Astyanax mexicanus: one gene and its partner. Each later gene encodes a partner of the first gene's protein in a complex. Links are inferred from orthologs where the notes say so. Each region holds a gene or a part of one and is shown in the gene's direction. Other genes may lie near its edges.

Region 1 (7,641 bases):
ACGTAAGGCCCAGGCTCATTTTACAGTCGTTTATTTCACTAGCATTTTCTACTAAACTTTCAGGGGGGAAGGGAGCAATGGAGCATGCTTAATGGCTATAGGCTTCATAATGGGCCTCATTAAAAATGTCGGACTGCCCTTTGACTGGCCTTATATCAGCAGCAGCGTGCAGTGCATCAATGATCAGCTCTCCTTAAGAGCATTACTGTGGCCTATAGAGTATGGATTTGTGGGTGTGGGTGTGTGTGCCTCATTGTGAGGACCGAATAGCCCCAGGATAAATAATGGTGAGAATCGACGGGTCCCTATAAAAGGAAAACACACGTTTTTAATAATGAATATAAAAGCACGAAGAAGAATCACTCAATCACCTTTTGTGTGGCACACATACGCATTCGACTTCCACCTTTAACAACATTGATGCACATACACACACACACAAACACACTGGTGACCACACATACACACACATTGTACCCAGAGGACGTGGTGCATCCCTAGTTGTGGTGCTATGGGGGGGTTAGTTTGCCTTGCTCAGGGTCACTTCATAGTCATGTTCTGTCAGTTTATGGAATCAAACCAGCAACCTTCAGGTCAGAAGGCTGCTTGTCCAAACTTTGGGGCATGGCTCCACTTTTATATGCAGTTTTTCAAAATTGAAAAATGTACCTAAGTGCAAAGGGTTTCCTTTAAATCCTAAGGTTAGGCTTAAAGTCTGAGCAAAATGTCTTTGAGTATGTCATAGAGCCATGTCTATAGCAGTCAATGAGCTCTCACCAGGAGGTACACTATCTACAGGGGTTGGACAATGAAACTGAAGCTGAAATGAAATTTCAGACAGCATCCTTTTGCATTCACAGTTAATCCTGTTGGATGTGGTTTGTCCTTCTTCTTGGTGGTATGCTGACATTAACCCTGGATACCGTGGCACTTGATACATCACAAAGACTTGCTATCTTGGTCACCCATAATGTTGTGTGCATTGCAATATTTTGAGCAAAACTGTGCTCTTATCCTGCTAATTGAACCTTAACACTCTGCTCTTACTGGTGCAATGTGCAATTAATGAAGATTGGCCACCAGGCTTCTCCAATTTAACCATGAAACCTCCCACACTAAAGTGACAGGTGTTTCAGTTTTATTGTCCAACCCCTGTAAATAGGGCAGATGGGAAGCTCCTTTATGTATTCTTATGGAAACACCCAAAGTCTTGATCAAAAAGAAAAAAAGAGACAAAATAAAACATGAAAACCCCCCTCAGAGACAGGAATTCGAAACATGCATGTATGTGTTTGTATCCACACAAGTGTGTGCATGTGTGTAATAGGTCTATTTTTAAATCGCCTGCCAAAGATCAGCCAACGTGAAGGCTCAATCCTGGTGATGCAGCTACGGTATCATTACTGCCTGCAGAGAAAAGAGTGCACAGAGGCACACCAATGCATCACAGAACATGCCCACACTGTTGCGCATGTGCGCAGATGTGGGTGGATTGAGGGGGGTGAAGGGAAGCGTGTAAATGGAAATGGAAATGAGTGCAGAAGAAATGATAATACTTAATCGCATCAACTGGAAAGAAACCAAAATAAAACTGGGTTGAGTCAGCACATTTTTTTTCACAAGGAGAGAGTGCTATGGACAATATGGTGTTGAATTTGCATGAGCAGAGTGACAGTGGCTGTTTCTCAGCTGTAAAAAAAACGACTGGTTTGCCAGAGATATCTCTTTCTGTCAGGCTTAGGTTTCTGTTGAATGTTAATTCTAGCCTGGACCAAATGAAGTGAACATAAGGCAGACGTCAGCAGGATTTCACCTGCTGTTCTTTAGAGTTTGAAATGAAGTCAAAAGGAACATGATTTGAGTTATGCTTCTGAAAATTATTCTGGTTATATGTTTAGTTTGTAACGGCAACTTGGTTTAAGCTTATGGATGTGTCATGTATGGATGTTGAGAACTAGGTAGAGCAGTCGCAACCATCTGATAGCTTCTCAAGCTCCCAGGAATACTTTTTAAAAAGATCCAGGATCTACTGCATCAGAATACAAACTAATGAGTTTCTGTAGTATGAAACTTTATATACGTTAATATGATAATGATACATGCAATATTAAAACAAAAGTGGATTGCGTGGGGAAACAGTACAATTAAAAGAAGTTTCTAGTACCATCTTGAGCTTCCTGTGGCACATTTGCCCAGATTGTTGCAGCTGGGTCTGTAGATCCTGTAAACTCTTGATAAAAATGAAAAAAGAATTAACTATAAATCTGTTGATAAGGGAAATGCTAGAAACCCCTTGCTGTGTATGGGCAAGCATTATCATGCTATAAAATAAAAGAAGGCAGATGGATGTCCTGCAATTAGAGGCTATACAGATGTACATGTAGTTGTCCTGCACATATTACTGAGCTTTTAGTGTCCCAAACAGAACCTAGATTCATTGTAAAAGATGACATGCTTCCAGTCTGTAGCAGTCCAAGTAGCCTCTGAGAGCATTTTATAGGGCAGTGAGGGAAAAAAATGCTATCCTATGGCAAGACCCAGTGTCTAATCAGGCCAGACCTATAATCATTTACATATCTGCTTGAAACAGAGTTATATGTTGAATTTTGCAGCCTATTTTTGTAAGTGTATGCACACTTAGAAAAGTAAGTACAGATTTGTACTTAAAAGAGTACAAAGCTTGTTGCCAGGGCTGTACCTTATATTGAGGTACAAAAAAGTACCTTCCAGTGAAAGTCCTTTTTTGTACCCATGTTTTTATGCCAGTAAAGATTATAAAGATTATAAACATTATCATCAACTAAATATGTGTCTTCATGATGCAAAAGTGTCTGGCTCTCAAATAAAAAAGTGTGCAAATAAAATATATATTGTTTATTAGTACAGTGGTACAGAATACTGAATGTACCCTTTGACTGGTTAAATGGTACAAATTTGTACTTATTGCTGTTAGAAATTACTTTGTACTTCAGAGGGAACAAATCTGACCCTGTAAAGACCAATATTGTACATTTGAGGGTACAATTATGAACAGTGTACCTTTGAGTAAAAAAAAAAATACTCCTTTCATACCTCTGTTTTTTTAAAGTGTGTAAATTATTAACTATAATTGTCTCCAACACTACTATAATAAACACATCATGAGTTATAATGCATCATTTATAAGTTACAGGAAAAGTAAATATCAACAAAAATGTAAAAAACAAACAAACAAAAAAACTAAAAACAAATCAAATATAATATAATGGCTGTAAACCACTTTCTTAAATGCCAGTTCTGGGAAGCTTCACATTTTAAGCATCCTCTGTTTTAGCACATCTGTTCAGGCTCATAAGGTAAATACCAAGTCCTTTATAAGGGGAATGGACTGTGTGTTTAGAGATCCAGGAGATGTAAGTAATAGGGTAGAGATTTATTGTTCTGTACGATGGTTTGGGGTATTCAACAAGATGGATTTCACAGTTTCTTCTAATTTCTATCATAAGTTTTTTTTTGCTTTGCTGCTGATTTTAAGATTTAAGAGGATCTACAAGTTAAGTTGTATTAATATAAATGAGTATACATAAGTATAAAATTGATGACAAAAAAAAGAGACAAAAGATAAAATGAGCAGAAACAAATATGGTTTACGAATAAAATTCCAAAGAGCCGAATTGATTAAAGAAAATAAATGCAATAAATGTCTAGTGAACAGTTTGAAATCTAAAAATGATGAGTTCCTTTGATTTTACCTAATTGAAAACCATCATAACCATCAAACAACGCTGAACTGCTTTTTTTTGCACCAGGAATGGCATAAAGTTATCCAAAAGCAGTGTGTAAGACTGGTGGAGAAGAACATGCCAATATGCATGAAAAAATGTGATTAATAACCAAGGTTATTCCACCAAATGTTGATTTCTGAACTCTTTCAACTTTATGAATATGAACTATTTTCTTTGCTTTATTTGAGGTCTGGAAGCTCTGCATCTTTTTTTTTGTTATTTTAGACATTTATCATGTTCTGCACATAAATGCGCTAAATGACAATATTTGTATTTGGAATTTGGGCAAAATGTTGTCAGTAGTACTCCTTAAACTTAAGTAATCTGGGTATCTGAGAATCCATGCTTTGTGTTACAGTCTAACACTTGTTGGCTTTTTTTGCGTGATGAAAGCCCGGCCTTTATAGCTGAGATTGAACATGCTGCTCCTAATCTTCACACATGGTGGAGCTGTTGGGTAACAGAAAAGAAAATCACAATATATTTTTTTTGCCTACAATAACTGTTGTGAACATATTTTAATAAAAAAAAGTGAAAAATGTATCAACCCTTCATAATTTTATTTAGAAACAAAACTTTAGGCACTTCACAGTCTTTAGTTCAGATAGTGGGCAGTTTAAAGAGCAATATATATGTAGGCTACAGACTGCCTGTAAATAACTGTGTTATTTTGAATTATTTATGGAGCATTCATTGAAATATTCTTTTTTTTATTTTGTAGTATTATTTTGTTTTTAGAAAAGTGAAAAGCACAGTGCACGCGCAGTGCTATCTCAGGTGAGGCCCTCGTGCGTAACCCCGCCCTCGCGCTGCTAACCTGCGTGCCTGAGAGCGAGGCAGGAAGCGACGAGGAGCCGCGCGAGAGCTTCTGTTGTTCTTTAGTAAACACGAGCGAAAGAGCTGGGAGAATTTAGCTAGTATGGGAATAAAGTTGGGAAATGTGCTTGTCGGGATGTTCGTCGAGGGAAACCACGCGGCGCTGGATGTTTCTGTGAGGGGGTGGTGAAGTTTTTTGAGGGTTTGTTGAAGGTTAGCAGAAGGTTGAGGGCGGTAGTTGTTAGCTAAGTACACACGAGTAGTCAACGTTACGTTAGCCAAACTTGAGTTAACACGTTAATAAGACGGTTAAAGTGCGTGTTTTTTGCGTTATTTCCACTTTAAACGGACTTTAGTGGAAGTAAACTTGTAGTAAGTCACTGATAGGAAGAGATTTAGGTGCTTTTAAGAGGGGGCTCCTATTCAAATCTCCCTCCCTTTTCCCTCCTTTATGTGGGGACTGCCTGTGTGACTGAGGGCTCTCTGGGTTCTCAGCCTCTTTCTTTCAGGCCGCGGGGATTTATTTAGCGAACTAACGTACTTTTTGTAGCAGTCTGGAGGAAGCAGAGGATAATTTCTGAGTTACAGTAGCTAACTCAGCTTTGTTAGTTAGCTACAGTTCACCGTCAAGAAAAGCGTGTAAAAAAAGCTCCACAGCGCCGGAGAACTGGATACTGCCTTCATTGTTTTCAATCAGTTTGGATTAGATTCACCATGGATCCTCCAAACTCTGGGAACTCAGCGTCCTCTGGTGCTTCTTCAAAAAGCACCAAAGAGAAGAAACCCAAGAAAACCTACGACGAGGGAAATGAGAAGAAGAAATTTGTGAGTATTTTGAGTTGGGTTAAAGTTACTCAAGCTGTAGCTGGCGGAATAACTAACTATAAACGAGCTACATGTCCCGCAGGTTTTCTCTCATTGCTGTCACATCACAGAAGCACTCACTGAATCACACCATGTACTGTCAAGTGTACTGTCATGAAGTGCTGAAGTGCTAAAGTGCTAGAAGGCTCTAAGAAGTGATTATGCAAAGCTAGCTAGCAGCTACACTCATCCAAACACTCCTGTTCCCATCAAACTTAGCTAGTTAGCTAGCTGTCTAATTTAATTCAAATGTAGTTTACTAGAAAACAAAAGAGAAGAGGAGGCAGCAGGCAGGCGTTTTTCTGAGCCATGCGAATCAAGCCTAGAGTAGTCTGTGCTTTTTCTGAGTTTAAGAGACAATCTACGTGCCCTGCCTTCGCTAATGATGAGGAAGTAACAGCAGTGTGTAAAGTGTGTGTGTGTGTGTGTGTGTGTGTGTGTGTGTGTGTGTGTATGTGTGTGTGTAAAATATAGGACGCCAGTGGAGGGGGTTTGGGTTTTACTCTAACAGACCATGTGGACTGTAACACTTTATGGGACATGTGTTGAGACAAGTTTCCCAGACAGGGGAAACTAAGTTTTAGCCAAGTCTTGTACTATATAGCATTTTAGCATTTCAAATAAATACTATATATTTAAAGGAAACATTTTGTCTACAACTAGGCTTAATCCCTGTCTAAGAAACCAACCCCATATGTCAAAAAAAAGTTGTGCACCCTTTTTACATTTAGATTACATTTAAGGCATTTGTCTGATGCTCTTTTCCAGAGTGGCTTACAAGGTTATTTCTATTACAGAGTTGGGCCAATTTAGTGTTAGGACTCTTATTGAACCCCAGCCTCCCACTTGGTAGACCATCAGCAGGTGGTTGTGTTATCCACTGTACCACACAAACCACTGTCAGTTCTAAATTTGCTAAAAGTTGAATACAAATCTACGTTTTTAGTGGTTTTGAGCACTGAATACACTATGTATAAATCTATGACTAGTATTAATCCCTGTCTGGGAAGTTTGTGGACCCCTTTCTATAACTAATGCAGAAATCCAGCTCTATAATTTTAAATCAGTTGCTGGGAAATATGTCCAAGTGCATGCACATAGCTTGTGCAGGACTCTCTGGAGCAGATAAATAAACATGAACCTATTGGCACTGTGCCTAATGCCAGGCATGGCACAGAGGGCAGTAAAGCCCCCAGCATTGAGCTGTGGAGTGGTGCAACTGTGTTCTCTGGAAGGTTGGTGCTTTTGGGAAGAGTTGGGGAGTTGAGAATAAGAGGTGAAGAGGTGATCATCCTCCTAACACACTGACCTCACTAATGCTCTTGTCATGCTCTAGCAATGCTCCAGAATTTAGTAGAAGGCCTTTGCTAGGCATTAGAAATAGATGCTCCAACAAAAGCAGCAATAACTCTTCTTAATGCAAAATGTCTTTTTAAGACACTTGATTTTACAAGAAGCTAAAAACAAACAGATTATACAAAATGTCTGTACCGAATGTACGTACATTATTGTACCTAATGTAAATAATTAAATTTCTTCTCAGACTTAAATGTGGTCAGTTTGATTCGGTTATTTAATGCTTAACATGTTTAAATGCAAGTCATGGATGGCATGGGAGTGTTAATGCCTGCCTGAACAGATCTCATTTTAAAATCAGATCTGCCACTGGTAGCCTCAAAGGCTGTCACTTGGCACACAGACTAGTTCAGCCAGTGTGGGCTGGACCTGTGTGTCTCAGCCAGCTGTAAAGCTTCCTGAGACTGTGTTTGTGGTTACTACTGGAAAAGGGAACTCTGTTACGTCATAGTCTGGGAAAAGTGAGTCAAGCCAGGCAGTTCAGCCTTGCTGGATGACAGCGCTCAGCGTGTTATCCTATCTCCCAGTCTTTTCATCTTAAGAAAACTGATATTCACCCTCCTAATGTTACCATAGATTCGTAAACACACCTGGTGTTTGTTATCCCTTTATAGTGATACCCATCCGCTGTCTCCCGGAGAGCTTGCAGACAATAGACGTGGTGCATCTTTATCTTTGCCTGCTTCTTCAGGCCTGCAAGGGATGCAGGATGAATAAAATACATTAATACACACAAACATATGTGTTCAGTGAAACTCATATGTTACTTTTTTGAGGGTACTCTAATTAAAACAGAACCACTTTACAGAAAACATTTTATAGCACGGCTTGTAAAGGTTCC
Region 2 (7,738 bases), on another chromosome or scaffold:
TTGATCTTCTGACTAGTTTATAAAAATATATGAAAAATATAGTTATAGCTCCTGCTTGATGTATATGTTGTATCATGTTGGATACATTCAGTGGACAAATCTGCCTGTAATTTTACAGATAAACTACAGATAAAATCATAATCATATGCAGAATACCTGTATTTAATTTTATTTTGTTATTTATGTAATAATTGTAATTTATTTAATGTATTGTACATTGTTATGTATTAATTATGTAATAATTACAAGTATTTATAATTGTTTTCTTCATTATTAATGATTGTTTATTTATATCAAACTCACTCATGCATCACATAAAATACACTTGCTTTTAAAGTCTAACACATAGATGATTATGTTTCAATTCTACTTTAATTCTACCAATAAAGTGCGGAGCTACTTTGACATGATAATGGTGTAAAAGTAGTGATTTCTTTGCGTGGACAGCACTATGCCCCTATCACTAGCATTGTAAGCCTGTTCGAATCATTGGCTAAAAGCTCTGTATTTCAATATGCTGGCAGTGAATGGAGGTAAACAAAATGTTTACTCATTATCATGTTTCAGTACACCCCAAGTCCATTTCACACCAGATTTCTCCTTTAAATTGGGTTCAGGCTCAAACAAAACATACACGGGCTCAGGTAGGGTCGGCCCAATCTAAGCTTTGGTTTGGTAATGTTGAGCAATGTAGCCTGAGACCAGGTCAGCCTACAGGGCTGTACAGAAATCCCAATCCTGTTTCAGTGGTACTGAGGAACAAATTACTGCACTATTTTACTTCCCTGCTAAAAAAAAGTCAGAATAACATCAGCTTCATCTACCTGGTTTTATTTAAGCTGGTCCTTAATGGTCAAGGTTTCAAGGTTCAAAAGCTGCTCACCCAGAGCAAAACATACCCTTACACTGGAAATTGAGCAAGCTGAACAGCTTAGCTCTTCAACAGAACATCATATGATTTTATTTAGTTGATGGTAAGCTTAGTGTGAATGAGGTGGTTGACCAAATTGACAATGCTGCTTATTATGATGGAGAAGCATGGTAAACAGCTGCTTCTCAAAGTAAACTTGCTTATATCACTTAACTACACTAAGGAAACGTGTTGAATTGGGCAGCTGTAAGATACTGCAGTCCAGTAAGACTATGTTGTTAAGATTGCTAAGAGGGAGTGGGTCAAATACTGATATTGCTTTCAATTGCATTTTGTTTTCAAATGTTTTTTATTTTGTAGAATTTTTCTAATGCCAATATAAACTAATCATAAATGCATCAATAGATCAATGTTGCCGTAAAAAATATCCACTATTTGACCAGCCACTATTCAGTCCTTCTGGTGTGCCCGACGGGCCATAGCTATGTGTGATTGATTGGATTGTTGATCTTTTTATTCTTTTACAATAAAGAATTCCCACCAAGATGGAAAGCACAGAATGTCTTTCTCTCAGTGGCTGCATGCACATGCAGGTACATATAGAACAGTTGTGGGGATGAGGAGGCAGGGCTTAAAGAGGTGTGTTTAAACCTGAAAAAACCCATACACAGACTTTAAAAGGAAATGCTGACATAAAATCAATGTGACATCCTGGCCGGACGCATGTTTAGATCCAAGAAGGAGGACTTATGGTCACCCTAATTTAAAACAATGACAAAACAGCAGCACTAGGCTGGACCACCTGCTTTGACCCCTGGCCCTGACCTTTTTCTGACCCCAGTGAGAGTCAGGAAAAGAAAGAAGGGGGGAGGGGTGTCCCAGTGTCTCTGGGAAGGGGCTTCCCCCGTCCCGCATGCTGGCACCAGGCTGGGAGGTGATGCTGAAGCTCCAAAAGAGCCCCGACTGCCGTGCCTGCTGCCTCTGTTGCCATGGAAACCGGCAGCCTGGAGATGCTGAGAGAATCAGCTGCGTAGACGGAGAGCCAGCCGGTTAGTTAACAGGGCTGATAGAAAGAACCACACCACATTAATGCAGTGTGTGTGTATTCGTGTGTTTGTGTGTGTGTGTGTGTTTGAGAAAGCGAGAGAGAGAGAGCACGCGAGAGAGAGAGACAGAGAGAGAGAGAGAGAGAGAGAGAGAGAGAGAGAGAGACGAAAAAGGGGCACAATGCTGTTTCCTTTCAAACAAATCCTAAAAAAGACACCAAATGAGCAATATCTGACCTAAACACACACACGCGCGCACACACACATACCTCTGTCCTCGCACGGCCCCTCACGTGCATCTTCAGATCCCCCCCCCTCCTCCTTCCTCCCCCATTTCTTGTGCCTGGGGATGACATCATTCTCTAAAACCACATTACGTCATCCATTTTCAGGACGCTTCTCGCGCTACCCCACCCTATTGCACCCCTTTCTACACACACGCGCGCAGGCGCGCGCGCACCCGTACTTATTCACTCTCGCTTTTCACTTCCATTGGCTCGTTATCGGCACGCTGTCCCCGCCTCTTCTTCGCTCCTCATTGGCTCAGAGGTCCCCTGTGGCTCATGCTGATTGGCTCGTTCCTGTCTGCTGCTCGCGGGCCGTTTGGTTTCCAATGACGTCACGTAGTGAGATTCCCATTATCAATATGCAGAAAATAGAAAAAAATGCAGAAAATAGATTTGCAATGAAAAATAGTGTGTGTGTTTGGGGGGGGCGAACACACAAACACATAAAATACTGAAGAGGAAACCGTACATGACACATTAAACACACATATTAAGCACAAATATTAAATTATTATAAATACAATAATTAAATAATTATTTATTATTGAATTATAATAATTTGGACATTATTATAAATTATATTATATGAATATTATATTCATTAGATCTTTTTACTTTGTAAATTAAATTACAAAAATAATTTTGGCTTAAAATGAATTAAAAGTGTGTGTGTGTGTGTGTGTGTGTGGGCACATGTGTGTGTATGTATGTATACTAAGTGTGTCGTGTGCATGTGTAAACGGTTTATGTATATGAATAATGTGTGTTTTTTAAGAAAGTTGAAGTGTGTATATGCAGTTTAAGTGTGTTTTTGTGCCTTTATGAACATTGTATACAATGTTTGTGTAGGGAGGGGGTGAGATGTGTGTATGTGTAATAATAATGGCAGGTATCTGGGAGCACATCTGAATTTTAATCTGAAAGTATCTCAGACTGTCTTCATTGACGTTACAGCTCAAAAGCAGAGTGAATTTTCCCCCTGGAAAACCCAATTTGTTTAATGTAACGTTTACACAGCAAAAGTTCAGTTCATGAGCAAGTTCAAGTTTCACAACAATTCAGCTGCTCCATGTAACGAACAGAAAAGGTGTGATACAGCTTGTGCAGATGGTCTATTCAGTTTGTATCTGTTTTAAATGATACAGCAGAATACTGTAAAAACTCATTTCTGGGGGACAAATGTGCCAATATTAGCACAAGGAAAACGAACTGTTGAAATTAGAAACAGGAGGTGGAAAGAGAGTTTGGATAAAAAAATAGGCGGAGGAGAAGCTACACATCATAATTTAACCAGTCTAGAACGGTTGTGGCCTTACTTTCAAGAGACATTGTGCTGTAATTGCTGTATCTTAAAATAACTCAAAATACAAATTTATAGCTATGCTATATGAAACCCGGGGTGCCCACTTCAATTGGAAAGTGGATTGGTTTAAAAGTTACATTAGTTGCTTATATATATGTTTTGCAATGGTGGTAAAACTGTGGTAAAACTGTGAAAATCAAATAATAGCAAACATTTTACAGCATCACAGTATGTGATATTTATCGTTATTAATTAAAACTAATAAACACTTAAAGGGATAAAAAAACAGAGTTTCTTTAGTTGAACAAAAGCTTTGGTTTAATTGATTGAAAAGTGTGTAAAATGTCTCCCTTTTCATTATGGATACATTTTCTGATTTATAAATTTATTTAATTATTTAGACTATTTGCATATATCAAAGACACACATAAGGATAGTTCTGGAGAAGTTTTAACAAACACAGTGAAGTAAAACACTACTTTTTGTATGAATGTTATTTAGGCTCAGATAAGGAGCTTTAAATAAGCTATAATTTTTGTAAAGGTTTTTTTATACAAGATGTGTGCAGGCCGTGTATGTAGTTTGTGCCTGCGCTTGTGCGTGCGCGCTCCCGCGAGGTGGCGCGCATGAGCGTGCTCGGGCTCCGGTTGTCCGTGGTAACGGCGCTGATGTTGTTTATAGATGTGTATGAAGGTGGGGGGATGCAGGTTCAACCACACACACACACACACACACACACACACACGCACACACACATACGCACACAAACACACACACACATACACAAACACACTCTCTCTCTCTCTCTCTCTCTCTCTCTCTCTCTCTCTCTCTCTCGTGCACACACACACCTGTCATAACCATGGGCAATGAGGTGTGTGTTAAAGGTGATGGCTGAGGTTTCTTTTATGTAAGTTACTAGACTGGGTGCGTATATATTCATATGTATGTATATATGTATGTATATATGTATTAATATATGTATATATTTATGCATATATGTATATACGTTTATGTATGTAAGTGCACGCGCGCGCGCGTGTGTAGTCTGCGTGTGCGCGCATGCGCGTTCCTATAGAAGAGGCAGGGTTTCTTTAAGACCGCGCGCGCACCTTTTTATTGCATGGGGAGAGAGGGCGAGAGAGAGGGGTAGAGAGAGGTTGAGTGTGTGAAGTGTAGAGCTGAGAGAGCGAGAGAGAGAGAGGAGAGAACGACAAACCGGAGGAGAATAACGACGAACTGGTTCGTCGCTCCGGTTTTCACGATGACCTGCAGAGATTCTGGACCGTGAGCGGGGTGAGCGCGTGCGTGCTGTATTTTGCAGCTTTTTTTGCAGCGTGTGCGTGCGTGCGTTTGTCGCCCAGCTGTGAGGCTGTATGTATGGATGGATGGGATGGATGGATGGATGGATGGATGGATGGGAGGAAGGAGTGGGGGTGGGGGGTATATATAGCTAAGGAGTGGGGGAAAAGGGTCTGAATGGGGCTCGTGCATGGATATTCATCGATACAGTAGCTGAAATTGGCATTATATCTTTATTATATATATTGTTTTGCAATGCATGTGCACTGGCTTCGTTGATTCTGCGCGAACACGAGCACGTCATACACACACGTATATATACATAGTGTTTATAACATTGCACATTATGTCAGCTTTCCAATTGCATTGGAAACATGATGCTGATGCTCATTATTGCACAAACACAAACCAAACACCCATCTGTGAATGTTTTAATCATATATATATATATATATATATATATATATATATATATATATATATATATATATATATATATATATATATATATATGTAATGCTTCCCAATCCCCTCCCTGTCTTCAGTTTTCAGCCATAGCTCTCCACACACCACACACACACACACACACAACACATACACTCTCACACATCATCATACAAACATACACACTCAGCCTCACCGTGCCTTTCTCTCTCCTGCGCCTCCATTATTATTAGCCTCATGACTAACAGCTCAGCTCTGCACAGGAGAGAGCAGCTACAGCCTTACATCACACAAATCACTCACATATCTGCCTGACAGGCCCTTTTTCTACCGAGAAAATGCGTCTGCTATGTAGCTGCAAGTGTTTGCGTGTGTTTTCCTGTGAGTCCGTGTGTTTATATGTTTATATGAGATGAGAATAAAACAAATGGAGCCAAAAAAATAAGAAATAAACTCCAGAGCTGCATGTGTCTATACAGACAGCTGGCAGTAAAAAGGCATTTTTCCAGTAATGGGTTTATGTTGTCTTATTTTGTTTTCTCCTTCTATCTCGATCCTGGTGTAGATATATAGGCTACATATGGTGTTGCATGGTTTGTGGCCTACCGAGACTAGCTTTAAGCCTCAGCCCTAGCTAATGAGTCTGGCTAATCTAGCTAACCTAGCTGTGGGAAGGCACTGCCAGCATTTTTCCAAGCACTGCTAGTTTTCAGCGTGTGTCTTCAGTGTGTCTGTGCCGTCTGATACTTTATGTTAAGATTTTGAGCTTTATTAGGTCAAACAGATAATTCTAATGCTAATTCAACATAAATGAGTGAAAACAAAGAGCCACAAATGAGAAGTAAACAGATGAATGATAAAATAGATCTGCTAATGTTGTATATTGTTAATGTTCATTCATTGTTAGCAACATTGGCCTGTTCAGTCAAGTTGTATCTTTCATTTTCTCACATTTAGATACATCATCCGAGCCTGCATTTTTATGTAGGGCTCACATGGGTGGAACGTGGGTTTCAGGTCAGTTTTAGGTGGGTATGGGCTCTCAGTGGGTTTATACCTGTGTTTTTACTGGGACCCAGTTGGGCTTTCCAAATGGGCACCCTTGTTACAGCCAACCTGTGTGAGCAAACCTCACATGGGTCCCATCTAGACCAACAGTTGTGTAGTGTACAATCTAGATGGGGCCCAAAGAGCCCATCACTGACATCCATATGTGATGTCAACATAGCCCCTTTGGACAGAACTTAATTGTTCCCATGCTGTAAGCCTTGATGAGTCAAATTTAACTAAATTTAAGTAATGTTTACTGAAAACTTGTGTTAGACTAAAAACTTTTAGTTATGTCTAAATTGTAAGTACATTTGATTACATTACATTTTTTTTACATTTATTTATCAATTGCTTTGCATAATAATTCTACTTTGAATGTTATGGTCAGGTGAATAAAATAGAAATAAATTGTATTTAGACTTCTCTCTGATTTAATTTAAGTAAAATACATGTTTAAAATACTAGTAGAAAATTAGATAGAAGATGATAGAAAATGATATAGAGAGAACAGTAGAACAGTACAGCCAACACAGAATCAGCAGCATGCTTGTTCTTACAGCCTACAACATAGGGGCGAAGCAGTTAATCATCATATATGATCTACAAGTTCACCAGAGGTAGCTCGGGGGACAGGGTGTAACTGTACACTGATGAGACACACCCAGTATGCAAATAGTTTGTGCTAAAAGCCAATGGAAAAGAAACTGCCAATGGCAATAGACTAAACTAAAAAGTTATTATAAGTTGATTAAACTCAAAGATCTCCACAAATGTTTACCTAATGTTTGGAAATATCCAATTTTGCATAAAACAGACAACATGCAGTTGGGCTTCCAGTTCAGACAGTTGGGCCTCCCATAGCTTCCAGAATGAAACATTTGTAAAGTACTCCTGTTGGCTTTTCTTATAATTCTTGAGCAGTATCTTGTCGTAAAACAGTAGTAATTGTCTGTAGTAATTAGGGGTGTCACGATTCTCTAAATCCTCGATTCGATTTCATTTTCGATTTGAGGGTCACGATTCGATTCGATTCTCGATTTTCTTGTTTTTTTTTCTTGTTATTATTTTATGCCTCATAAAATTTAAATAATATATTTATTATTATTATTATTATTATTATTATTATTATTATAAATATTATAAATATTATTATTATTATTTATTAAGATATATATGGTAATGCCATCTAGTGACTTTTTTTGGTAGCAACAGTGTGCACTATTAAAACAAGCAGTTTATCAGAGCTGTGTGTGGATGGCTGGTGAAACTGCTCATTACATGAAGCTGCAGTTCTTCATCCAACCACTAGCAGCAGCAGCACAAGCCCCGCTCTTTTCACTCAGTCACTACTTCAGTACAGCCCAGCCACGGGCTACAGAGCTCAGCCAGTCCGTTTTTACTGTTTCTGTAAACAAATAAAGGTTTTAACCCCACT

What was found.
Region 2: the proteins of protein diaphanous homolog 1 (region 1) and ppfia3 are in contact, whole or in part, in a crystal structure (PDB 4UWX), measured with the Mus musculus proteins. The link is inferred for Astyanax mexicanus from reciprocal best matches to the Homo sapiens genes DIAPH1 and PPFIA3. Residues at the interface, in NP_031884.1 of Mus musculus: Lys252, Ser255, Ala256, Ile259, Gln307, Asn310, Ala311, Thr314, Pro315, Ala316, Glu317, Arg322, Gln352, Cys354, Val355, Glu358, Gln359, Glu362; in NP_084017.2 of Mus musculus: Pro719, Arg720, Arg723, Leu724, Arg726, Met727, Ala728, Ala730, Leu731.

What each region holds. Positions count from the first base shown.
Region 1 is NC_064409.1:66,225,400-66,233,040, forward strand, and holds the start of protein diaphanous homolog 1, read left to right. Parts: upstream 1-4,591; 5' UTR 4,592-5,294; coding exon 5,295-5,405; intron 5,406-7,641. UniProt on the Homo sapiens protein: Actin nucleation and elongation factor required for the assembly of F-actin structures, such as actin cables and stress fibers. Binds to the barbed end of the actin filament and slows down actin polymerization and depolymerization.
Region 2 is NC_064426.1:17,738,143-17,745,880, reverse strand, and holds the start of ppfia3 (liprin-alpha-3), read left to right. Parts: upstream 1-4,636; 5' UTR 4,637-4,811; intron 4,812-7,738. UniProt on the Homo sapiens protein: May regulate the disassembly of focal adhesions. May localize receptor-like tyrosine phosphatases type 2A at specific sites on the plasma membrane, possibly regulating their interaction with the extracellular environment and their association with substrates.